2 linked regions of the Drosophila melanogaster genome follow. The protein of the gene in region 1 purifies or fractionates together with the protein of each later gene. This does not show direct contact. Each region holds a gene or a part of one and is shown in the gene's direction. Other genes may lie near its edges.

Region 1 (7,803 bases):
AGCCAAATTGCCCGTCAACACCCCCGAATTAAAAAAAGAATAAAAATAGAGAAGAAAAAACGGGCTCAGAACGCGCGATTCATTTGGACTCTTTGTTTGGCTTGGCATTTTCTTGCGTATTTTTAGCCAGAACCAAGCCATTTTGACCATAATATTTGTACAATAAATTTCATTTAATTAGTTTTTTGGCTCGCAGCCGGTTTGAAACGCAATAAGATTAATCGCCAGCGCCGATAAGCGCCTTCGTCACAGGCCGACAAAATGTCAGAGAGTGAAAAACAAAATATAAATGCTTATCAGCGACTTGCGTCTATTTGCCGATCGGTGAATTTCAGATTCGACCGGATCCTAACGGTATACCATATAATACCATTATTCCGGCAACGTTCCAGACACACAAACTAATGCAAATTAAATGGCTAATCCGTTGGCAGCTTCCTCGGAAATTATTAGTTGTCAGGCGGTTGAAAGACAAAGCCGATTATGATACCCAGAAATCCTGATAGCACACTCATTCATTATTCATTCATGAAAAGTTTTTTCTGTGAAATCAGTTTGGCTTGGAATCGGAAATGCATATGTTCTAATTGGGTGAGGTATGCTACACGGCTGGGCGTTGACTTCCGCGAAGGAATACGACTCATCCAGGTGCTAAGTGGGCCAAGATGGGCTGCAGCAATTGAATCACAAATGCCAATCGCCGACTGGCGCCCACCAAAGGTGAGAAAGGTGGGCACGTTCCGGCTGTCTGGGAAAGTGATATTTTCATTTCCCAACAAAACACATCCATCCTGACCAATCGCATTCGCATTCGCATTCGCTGTTTGCCCTTTCACTTTGAGCCGGAAAGGCGTACGTCATGCATAATTTAGGTGCCTGATACCCGCTGGTGGTAATTAGCACTCGGCTGACTTCGTCACTGTGCTCTAATTTGATTTCGTTACTAATTAATCGCGCTTTTTCCCCAAAAAAAAACATGGAAATTTTCGCCAATCCAATGGGTAACATTTGTGATAGGCGGTTTGTTAAATGCGTTTATTGGTTTCACAATGTATTTGCAACATTGTTTTTAAATTTACGCGCCCCACTGCGAATGCCTTGATTCGATTTCGAAATTGGCAGTGCGGCCAGATCGTTGGAAATCGGTAAGCAAGCTTTCACTCAAAAAAATGTTGAGCGACTTTTGGCATTCAACTCATGTCAATAAATTATACATTCAACGAGTGACTTTATCGCCGGATTGAGTTACAAATTGAATTATGCCGCCAATCTAGATCATTAAGACATTTTATTCCAGAATTTTGTATTATTTTGCAGGGTTATAAAAATTTAAGTTTACCAAATCCTAAAAATGCTAAAAGTCAATGACACACATGTTTGGAGTTAACTAATTATGGCCGACCAATTGTAGTTGACCACGACAGTTTTAAAATTTTCACATTTTATCGTATGTAATAAAAATTTTTTTCAAATATTATTTTCATTATGTTTATTATTATTTATTTATTTGTAATTTATATATGTTACATATATAAATGCCTGAAATTCACATTGCAAAAAAAATAAATTTGGGCATTATTACAAGTTGAAAATATCAAATTCCCAGAAATCAATAACATTAGTATAACACAATAACACTTACGTTATCGAATTGGAATAACATTCAATAACGATCGCTGGCAGCAATTTCGAAATTAACCGTTTAACCGATTGGACGTATACAGCACAATGTTAGCGGCCGTCTGTTTGCTAACAGCGGGCGATAACAGGCGAAGAGAAGCCACTGTTAAGTAGACCATCTAAAACAGTTTCCAGAGCTGTGCCAACAACAAAACACAAAATCACTCAACTCTTACGAATATTGGTAAAAATTTATAAGACGTTTTAAAAACTTAATTAAAGTGCGACTGCCGGCAACTGAACCGTGTTCGCACCGAAAATTCGCGTCGCGTTGCTCCTATCGTGCGGTTCTAGCTGGATTATCAACAAATGCCAAAATTTCGTCAAAGCGAATAAAAATCATATATGTATACATAATACCTGCGCCTGTGTGTGTGTACCACTCGGTGTGTGCGTTTGTGTTTGTGTATGTGTGTGTGTGTAAGACCGATCTCTCAAGCGAAATCACTTAGCGGCGTTGTGTGTGTGTTCGAGTCTTCGCAAATAAAAACCACATTTTCTTAATATTTAACTAATATTTCGCACAACGGTTGAAAGAAAAACGACAACATTGGCATTGAAGTTCACCGAAAAAAAAGTAAAGTGAAGCCGAAATTTCCTTATCAGTAGAGCGCAAATGGTGAGCGAGAGAGGGATGACGAGGGAGAGAGAGGGGGCGAAAACTGGTGCAACAATAACTATGTATTTTAGACCCAAATATACAGCTCGTAATACCTCGTAATACCTTTCACAATTCTGGACACTCTCTTTCTACCCAGTTTTGTGACTGTGTCGCTTATTATTGTTGTTTCGCTTGTCTCGCGATTAGAATTAATTGACAAATGCCAGCAACAAAATACATTGTATTCGGGTTCTTTTTTGCGGTATATGTATATTTTTCGGGCAAAAAAAATGCACTGACAGAAAAGTGGTAGCACTTTAGATAGGAGAGAATAGTGGACACACGCCAACTAACGCGACAGTAGATAACCAGTACAGCGTTCACAGTCAAGCTCGAATAAGAGCAACAGGATGCACGAACGAAGCCGCAAAACGGAGACGGCGAGCAGCGTCACTGAATAACATGAATAAGTCATAACTAGTGTTGGCCTTTGCCGTTCTGCGATTGGTTAGACATAAAAACGGAGTATGTACGAAAACATTAAACGCGGTTCAACGACCGCCGCCATCTACATACATACATACATATGTAGTTGTCCATGTATATGTTTCGGTTTTCGGTTCTCGGAGATAGAAAAGCATAGCGGAGCATATAGCCAGACTTCTTCCATTAGCGCACCTGTCACACCAGTCTTTATCGCCAGTTTTGGGGTTATCTAGAAAAGGCAACAGGTATGAAATCAGGTAAGGCCCTCCCTCTCTCTCTCACGCACTCGCACTCTCCCTCTCACGCTACGATCTGTGTGAACTATCGCGTGGGGACACAAGGACATATCGATACGTGACATGCAGACGATCGATAACCAAAAAAAAAACACCCCTTCACTTCCAGCTGGTGCAACTAACGGTTTCGATTACCCGGAATATTAGAGGAATACGCAAATAACCGTAAAATCCAGCTAAATGTCATATGTACGCCAGCTGAAGCGGCAGAAAATGTCCCAGGCGAAGAAGTTCGGCGATGGCGATCCGTTCAACTACCAGGAGCTCAACATCATCGGCGAAGGTGAGCGACTTGGGTGGGATTTAATAATGGGACGCGGTTGCTTTGTTGTTGGGATAGGTCCGGCTCTCTTCGCACGAGAGGCTTTCGTTTGCTGGTCGCTTGTTGTTAACGTTTGATTACTTTAATTTGCTTACAAAGTCTGGGCTATTTGGTTTCACTACTGTTTACGATCAATCGGGAGCTCCGACATTGTTATGAAGCTGAAATGACAAGTGCACTTGGAGGAATGTTGTTGTTTTTTTACCCCTTTACTAATTAAGCGTGGAAATTCCGCGAAAAGGGGAAATATTGGATGGAAAACTCCCCTGTATTGGATCCTACACCTTCTACCTGCATACTTTTAGGTCCACTCTCGGCGGACTACGTGTTTCTGCCGATCTCACATCCATGATGATCTGACAAGTGGCTCATGGTCTTTTTTTTTTGTGGTCAGTAATTACGATCGCTTGTTTGCTGTAAATAAAGCCCAAATCAATTACGTCACCGATCATGCCGATCATCATGGGCAGGCGAATGCTAATGATGGATATTGTTACTGGGTGTTGTGCGAGTCATGGGTCCGCACAATTTCATCTGTTATACAACGCACACACACACACATACACTCAAACTTTCGGCTGTCTGCCTTTCTGTGCACATTCATTCAATTATTATTCGCTTTCGCTCAGTCTCATTTTTGCTACTTTGTACTATGGAAAATTTGACCACTTTTTGTGGCCAAACTAACTCCAAACTTTTTTTGCATTGCCTTACACTAGCCCATATTTTTAATGATATATAATATATATTTTTTAGTTTGCAGATAGTCATTCAATTAACTTTTTTGCATTGCCTAACAGTAGTCACCGTTGTAACTAAATGCATGCATTTAATATTACATATATTAATCGGTTTTCGGCCAGATAAAGTGCGTAAATTTCCCATAGTGCTTTGCTTTGTTGTTTTCTTTGCGCAATTTTTCGAGTTTATTTTGCTTGTATATTTGTATATTTTTTTGACAATTCCAATTGGACAGACCAGTTGCCGACGTTCAAAAACGAGTCGAGCTCACGGCCTTGTACTTGAATGTAGCAACAGCGGCACAGTTCATAAGCCAGGTGGTCTAGAGACGGTGACAAAGGGACGGAAAACCAAATTCACCCCCCCCCCCCCTCAAGTTGCGTTTATTTCGGGTGTATCAGTACATATCTGCTGTTTCTGTATGTCAGTGTCAACCGAAATAGCCGGTGCCTTCTAGCTTTTCTACCCCCCACGCATGTCCGTCCGTCCGTCCGTTTGTCCATTTGTCCATTTGTCCGTACGGGTGATAAATTTTCGGTGACATTTCTCTGGCATGCCAGAATTTGATTCTGATTGGGAATTTTGCTCGTCTCTTGTCGTTTTTCTTTGCCCGTGAACATGTAGAAATTAAGATCACGTTGTACCTGAGACAGCAACAGTTTCATGAGGAAATTAGTCTGAATTTCGTGCAATATTTTGACTAATTTTGAGTGCATATAATATAGTCTCTAATATATGCAATTATTGCATGCATTGCAATACGATTCTTTTGGGCTAAATGCATTCATTGTCTATTCATTCAATCATTATAAACAGTTAGTTCATCGAACAAGGCAAATAAATCAAGTCACTTCAATCGTAAGGGCTATAAATACGATGTTGAATATGAAAAGTATAAATACACCATAATGATATGAAGAAGCTAAGTGGCACCTTCTCTCTTTCTCTCGCCTCTCTGATTTCTGCCATTTATCTTATCGGCACAGCTGACTTTATTTTATTCTATTTTCGGCTGTCTTTCGCATTTATTTCCCGTTGTAAGCATTTTGATGTACAATTTCGATCCACTTTTCAGGTGCCTATGGAACGGTTTACAGAGCCCGCGATGTGATCACCGGCAACATAGTGGCGCTGAAGAAGGTTAGGATATCGCTGAACGAGAACGGTGTGCCAATGTCCACGCTGCGGGAGATTTCGCTGCTGAAGCAGCTGAATGCCAGCAATCATGCGAATATTGTCAAGTGAGTATGGGTGATTTACACGCTGCCACAAGGGCAGTGGGCTTCTAAATGGCCTTGGAGTTGAGTACTTTATGTAGAACTATAGCTAGCTAGCTGTATATGAGGGGTGTTATCACCCGCCATTGGGGCCAAGTGGCGGCGCCAAAGCTATTTGCCAAACTCATTTGTAAAGAGCCGCATCGCAATGTCAGCGCGCTTGTGTTTATCTGTGCATGCTATAGCCGTAATATTCCGACGATTTGCCCCCGGCGAACGCCCTCGCTTCTGACATATGCCAGTCAAGTCAAGTAAGTCTGAAGCAAGTCGATCCGCTCCCGCTGATAACTGATCACTGCAGTTCGCAAATGTGGGCGATTTTGTATTGGCATTATGTTTGTTTGCGGCGGCCGTTAGGAATTTGAATTAACAGAGCAGCTCGATAACCACATGTTGCTGTCGCGCGTTATCGATGTGCGCACTCGCTTGCACTTTAGCAGCGTGAGAGCGCGACGCGAATACAGTACAAAGAGATCGACAGAGAGAGAGAGAGAGAGAGAGATCTCGCACAACAGAATGTTAAGTTAAGTTGCAAATGGCTACAAAGTGCAGCTGTTATTTTGTTTGAAGCCAAAAGTGTTGGAGGGGTACAAGAAATAAATCAATGGCAAATTAAGTTTCTTGTATTTATCTGTATTTTTAAAAACCCAATGTGCCAGTTGCTAAAGCAAGTGTAACAGTAGAAGGTTTCAATAAAACTGTGCCTTTTAAGTAATTCAAAGGCAATGTTAAAATAACTGCCCGAACTGATTCTAACATAATGCTAACATAACATAATGCTAATCTGCTCTGCTAACGTTTACGTTTTGCCTCTGTCCGAAAACGATCTGTAGCCTCTCTTACTGGACGCTCTCTTTGGCTCTTTGATCGCCATGTGCGCATGTGTTTGTCTCGAGTGCTTCGCGTAGTTCCCGAAACGAACAAAGTATGGCCAATGGCGTATTGGCGCACCACAACCAGCAGCATTTTATGACACATTTTTTTTATATCTCTCAACATTTCCCCCATACATCGCTCTCTGTCGCACACAAAATCAAACAATTTGTACATACAAAGATTGCACTTCCCCTCTCTTTCAGACTGTACGAAGTATGCCAGTTTCTGGAGCGCGACGGCCAATTGCTGATTCTGTTGGTTTTCGAACATGTGGAGCAGGATCTTTCGGATCTTATAGACAGACTTCCCAAATCGGGCATGTCGCCGCCCACAATTCAGGTGGGTCTCAAAATGATATCAAAATTTCAGAAAATGGTATATGAAATTATTTCCTATTGCAGCGCTTGTCAAGGGAACTACTGACCGGTGTGGACTTCTTACACTCACACCGTATCATCCATCGGGATCTTAAGCCGCAAAACCTGCTGGTCTCCTCGCAGGGCCACCTCAAGATCGCCGACTTTGGCTTGGCCAAGACCTACGGTTCGGAGATGAAGCTCACCTCCGTGGTGGTCACCTTGTGGTACCGCGCACCCGAGGTTCTGCTCGCCCAGCCCTACAACAGCACCGTGGACATCTGGAGTGCCGCCTGCATCATCTTCGAGATGTTCAATCGGCGCGCCCTATTCCCGGGCACCTCCGAAAAGAATCAGCTGGACCGCATCTTCGAGTGAGTGCACAAATACTGCCATTGAAATCGGTGATTTTTAATTACATTTATGCGATTTCACGCAGACTGACCGGTAGACCCACCGAGCAACAGTGGCCACAGACCATTTCCGTGGCCCTGGAACACTTTCCCCAGCGGCATCCAAAGAGACCAAAAGACTTTTGCCCACACCTGTGCAAGTACGCCGATGATCTGTTGAATGTGAGTATGAAAATGAAGATACATATCTTGTTGCATGGTCTAGACTAACGCATACCCTATGTTTGCCCGCAGAAAATGCTTTCCTACGACCTCCACCTGCGACCATCCGCCTTGGCCTGTTTGGAGCACGATTACTTTCAGCAGGAACCCCTATAGTCTCGATGCCCAGAAGGATAATGGATAATGGATTATGGATTATGGATTATGGATTATGGATGTGGAAGTGAAAGTGGCAGTGGACTGATCATTGCGGCCGCGCTTCGTTCTTGTTACCAATGTTCCTTTAAGTGTAGTGAAGCATTTTGTTTATTTTTTCGCGACAGTCCAGTTATTGTGTCCGGGGATACGGATCCGGAATAAAGAATACCTTAATTTGTTTGTAGTCGTAAGTTAAGTGTGAATACTACTGCCGATCAACTATCTGATGACCATTACATGTGAAACGATTCTCGAGGGCGTTTGAAGGCCCTCCAAATCGAAATGTGATACACAAAGTTCAGGAATGCATTATACAATTTCAAAATTTTGTACAACAATCATTTATATATGCAATTATATATACAGCATACAATAAGATGGGTCTCATGTCTTTT
Region 2 (5,296 bases), on another chromosome or scaffold:
CGTAGGTGTCACTCAATAGATTTTACTCTATTCATCTTATTTGTAAGCACTTGGTTACTTCTGGTCTTTGTTATTTACTTATTGTGTCACTGGGTTTTTTATGATTTACATAAATGTTTATTGTAAGTTAATAAATTTAAATGCCTGGCTTGTACGTCCTCAACATTTTTCACATTACGCTGTCTCACTAAACAGAAGGTTTATTGTGACTTTGTAGGTCCAGGACCGACTCCGTGAATGGATCAAATATCATGCGGCACGGCATTCATGGCACTACTTCATTCAATGTATATCCTATTATAAAGTTGCGTGGGCTTGGCACTGCGTTTGGCATTTCCAGAATGTGGTATAAAGGTGTTTATAACGTCCTGCGAAGTCCCCTCGCAAATGAATGCGATATTTGGGACTTTGTTGGCATTTATGTATGTATGTCATGAGCACCACACACGCGAACATATGCATATTAAACACAGTATTATTAAACAAAAAGAACCTCCTGAAACTTTGACACTTTTCGATTCCAATTAGCAAGTGGCGGGCGAGAACAATTGAATCAGCTAATTGTTCCACACACATTTGTGTGGGTAATTTACGTGAATGAAAAATTATTTTCGTACAGCACGTCTCTTGTCTTCTTCGGGAATATAACGAATATAAAATTTCAGGGGATTACAGCATCCCTCTGACGGAAAGCGAAGTCGGCGGACGCGAGTGTTCCACTCAACTCTCGTGTGCTGTTTCAAAGTTTTCTCTGAATCCTTAAGCTTTTTCTGGGAAGCGAGCTTTTGTCTGTGTGCCGAGAGTGAGGGTAAATTAATTTGCAACAACTAAGTTAGCAAAATGCGAACCCAATTAAGGATTGTATCATTGAAAGCATTCTCCACGCTGCAGTTTTTCCTAAAAAACAACAAAAAACTGCAGCACCGAAATTAGGACAATGGACATGGAAGTCCATTTTAATCTCGATGTGTACATATATCGGTACATCATTTCTCGGAAGGGATCCACAGGTTACTTTTGTTTATCATTAACCTGGCATTCCTAAGTCGCGAAAGCTTTTTACCCTTTTATCAATATCTTATTAATTATTAAACAAAGCAGCAAAGATTATATCTTTTTTTTACAATTGCTTTTAGAATTTTTTTAGTGAAATTATTTTAGGTTTCTTACATGTCTTACTGTTTGTCATCTAAAACTGTTTAAGTACAACCCTAAAGAAAATAACAGCAGTTCAATGCTTTTTGTAAGCGGTACAGGATCTTTAAGTGCAGCATTCATTTATTTACGACTCTTTCGAACAACCTGCCATTTAATCAACAGGTTCCGGCCATTTAAACGGAATTTAATAAGGGTGTTTTGATCACGATTCAACCTAGTAGGGTGATGCCAGTGAGTTTTGCATTACTGACCATTTTGTCGTGGACCACGATCGTTAAATGTATGACATGCCGAAAGATCGACTGTCAGTACCATCCTTACATGAATGCAGGGTGGCAACGCCCTAGCATATTTTAGTATTTTTGATTTTGCTGGAGTAATTGGAACACTTGAGTGATGTGAAATTCACATCAAGAGTAAGTTCGTAAGATCGTATAACAAAAAGCTTATTTAAGAAAAAAAGTAGTGCAATTAGAAGAACTTTGTTTTTATTATAAGGGTAAGACCCTTTTATAGTCCATCAAACCCATTGATGGATTATAAGTTTTTAATGTTCTAATAACAACCCTAAGTGAAACATATTTCACAAGCAACAAGTTGGAAACGCAATGAGGAGGTTCCCCTTTTCAACGTATTTCGCTTGCCTTTCATTGCAAAGGATAGTACTATACTAATAACCGATGAAGATCGATATGTTTTACTGATCGCAGTGAGCAAGAGATATAACTCCGATGACGGCATGCTGAACTAGTTTTTTTCTGCCATAAGGTGTAACTATCTGGTTCACATAAATGCTTTGTCCACGCCGGTTAAGTGGCAAACGTGTGCAACTTCGAGTATACTTTTTTAATAGTTAATTTACATTACTCCATGAAGTGCTGTGCCGTTTGTATATAACCAGAATTCCGAGAATAGGCGTAAGTGAAAACTTTTGTTCTCGAGCTGATCGTACATAGCCATGCATGTACATGTACATAAGTACATAGTGTGAAATGAACGAGTTATTTCTGAGCAGGTCGAAAAAATATGTAAATAATGTAATGTGCATATGAATAAGTCAAGGTATTAGGGTTATATGCTATACTCTAGTGCTCCCACAGGACTAAACACATATGCCCGCAGTGTGCCCATACTTGAGCAAATACTTGAATTAAATGTGAAAAGAAGGTTGCAACATACATATGTATGTATGTACTTATGTACGATCATTTCCTATTGTACGCAGTGTTCCCATATCGGAGTTACCCAAAGTTCCTGATAAATCGGCACACATAAATGGCTTGAGAGTGCGGCGATCCATAGAATCCATAGCTTTAAACGGAACGTATGGCCGATATAATGGATCTTTTATGCTCGGAAATCATAGTCTACGAATCAGATCCATCATTGTATCGTTTGAACAAACGACAGCAGCAAATGTCCTCACCGGCGATCATTCGGGATCAATCATCGATATGTTCATCCTTGGGGGACGCGGAATCCGATTCCCATCCGGATGCCCAGAACAATGCCGTAGTGTGCAATATGAAGGAGCTGGTGTATATATACGCGTCCGTGGACTCGGCTGCGAAAAATCCAGAACAATTGGAGCCGCCTCCGCCACCTCCACCACCGCCGCCACCACCACCGACAGCGACCCAATCAATCCAAAGTTATCCGCGTTACATCAGCCAGGAGCCACCGACGTCACATTGCCAACGACTCGACGAACGCCTGACCACAACAGCCGATCCACCCGCAACCGACAACGTGAACACTGCCATCGGGGATCCCACATTGTATTCGGATCGGTGTCTGGAGAATTTCCTCAAGGTCGAGGAGAAGCACCACAAAATTCCCGACACGTACTTTAGCATCCAGAAGGATATTACGCCACCGATGCGCAAAATTGTCGCCGAATGGATGATGGAAGTGAGTAATTAAACGAAATGTAGATACAGCATCCAAATCATATCAAGCTAGCCGACTGTGATATACGCATTATTTATAATCTGTTAGAAAATATTACCAAATAGATGGAAGTTTCCAAGAACTTCATTAATTAGTGTTTGTTTTAGTAGTCCTTATCGCACACCCATTACAATATTTTGACTACCCTTTTCGTTCATTAATTGAATACATGTTCACAGGTGTGTGCCGAGGAAAATTGCCAGGAAGAGGTCGTATTACTGGCATTAAATTACATGGATCGATTTCTTTCGAGCAAATCAGTACGCAAGACCCAGCTACAAATTTTGGCCGCAGCTTGCCTCTTACTGGCTTCAAAGCTCCGTGAACCCAGCTGTCGTGCTCTTTCGGTGGATCTACTCGTTGTTTACACGGACAACAGCATCTACAAGGATGATTTGATTGTAAGTACCTTTCTCGTAATACAATACCTTTCGGTGAACATGCGGTTTCATTTCATTCCCAAGAAATGGGAGCTGTATGTGCTAAGTCGCTTGGGCTGGGACCTCTCATCTGTGACTCCCTTGGACTTCCTTGAGCTTCTGATGATGCGCCTGCCGATAGGCAGCAAAAACTTTCCGGACATAAACATTGGCAAAGTGCGGGGACATGCTCAGGCATTTATATCGTTGGCAGCAAAAGGTAAGCCATATACAAAACAGTCCAACTTAAGTACTGACTTCCCACCCCTTCCTTTGAAGAACATAAGTTTGCCAAGTTCTCGGCCAGCACCATAGCTGCATCGAGCATAGCTGCGTCAATGAATGGCCTAAAGTGGCATCTGCGATCGGGACACAATCTACACTTCCTTTTGAGTCTGATGACCGATCTAACCAGCGTGGAGCAAGTGAGTATGGCAAGGGAGCAGTGTTGTTATGTACCACCACTCAATTGATTTTAAATGCACAGGCTCAGGTGCGAGATTGTATGCTGCACATGGAGGACATCTTTAAGGAGCACAGTCGGAATCTAGAGCCATTTCTAGTGAATATTGACCCAAAAGAAATGTCAACATTATACTACAAGAGGCGCTTCCAAATACATCAATCGCAGCATCTCTCGCAAATCTCAATTAGACCCTTGCCGCTACCGAAAGCTCCTGCCGAGTGCGTGGAGCAACACCAGCAGCAGCACAACTTTGGGTCCGCAGCGCCACATCGGACGCACACGTGCAAGATGCAGGCGCAGGCTCAGGCTCAAAACGAGATACAAGACGTTACATTTTGAGGTGTCAAATGATAGTTATGCATACATGATAGTTATGTCAGGCTTAAGTTGAAATTATATATAGGATCCAAATAGTCCGATCACTATAGGATTGGCCAATATCACACTATTTACATTTGAATCGATGTATTTTATATGTACGCAACTATTTTTTACCAAACTATGGGTTATTATTTTTAGCTATCCTAAATATTTTGTATAAAATAGTTTTAAATAATCATCATGAAACTTTGAAATGGATGAAACATAAAAACGAGACTGATTGTAAGCAGCAAAGCAACATTTTTTTTTTGTATATAAGCTTTTCGAAATCCTACACAGATAACCAAAAAAGAACGAACTATTAAATGCAATTTTTTTAAAAACCATCCAACATAAAGAGAAAAACAATATGTTAAAGTTAACTTTGGATAACAATTATATAAGTTGGCAAATAAATGATAGAAAAAAGCAATTTCTTCTCTGCCCTCTATGATGTATGTATATTTTCGTATAATTTACTTTCAGATAAATCGCATTAGCTTACCAAACGAATCCAAGTAGTTAAAGGCAATGCGAATAATTTAATTTTTCTTTATTTTCTTATTAACAAACGTCTATAAACAAGAATCGTTAAAGACCATAACCTTAACACACACATAATATTTATCATTGAATAGGTTTTTGTATAATTTCTTGCGGACATTGCGTTGCTAAATAATATTTGTTCGCATATAATTCATTGCTCTGAGGATAGTTTAGTTCATACAAGTTTTTAGAGTGAGTACATAGTTCGATTTTTTTTTTACCATCAATGTAGAAGCATTGTAACACTGCAATTAACGATTTTCCTTTTAGATATTTCTTCGGTTTTTGTTTTGAGCTTTAAAAAAATACTGGCTTTATTGCATTCCTGCACTCGTCCGCCTCCTGCACTGCGATTCGAAATATCATATATGTACGGATATATGTAATACCATCTGGA

The links. The genes of interacting proteins can lie anywhere in the genome.
Region 2: the proteins of Cdk4 (region 1) and CycD purify together in Drosophila melanogaster (affinity purification with western blotting, with the first as the bait; 2 studies listed by BioGRID). This does not show direct contact.

What each region holds. Positions count from the first base shown.
Region 1 is NT_033778.4:16,577,670-16,585,472, forward strand, and holds Cdk4 (Cyclin-dependent kinase 4), read left to right. Parts: upstream 1-1,800; 5' UTR 1,801-1,864; intron 1,865-1,894; exon of another isoform or gene 1,895-2,257; intron 2,258-2,436; exon of another isoform or gene 2,437-3,024; intron 3,025-3,163; exon of another isoform or gene 3,164-3,172; 5' UTR 3,173-3,243; coding exon 3,244-3,346; intron 3,347-4,326; exon of another isoform or gene 4,327-5,201; coding exon 5,202-5,367; exon of another isoform or gene 5,368-5,700; intron 5,701-6,482; coding exon 6,483-6,618; intron 6,619-6,680; coding exon 6,681-7,009; intron 7,010-7,074; coding exon 7,075-7,210; intron 7,211-7,282; coding exon 7,283-7,366; 3' UTR 7,367-7,779; downstream 7,780-7,803.
Region 2 is NC_004354.4:15,906,310-15,911,605, reverse strand, and holds CycD (cyclin D), read left to right. Parts: upstream 1-1,929; 5' UTR 1,930-2,496; coding exon 2,497-3,069; intron 3,070-3,287; coding exon 3,288-3,509; intron 3,510-3,572; coding exon 3,573-3,747; intron 3,748-3,806; coding exon 3,807-3,952; intron 3,953-4,014; coding exon 4,015-4,332; 3' UTR 4,333-4,784; downstream 4,785-5,296.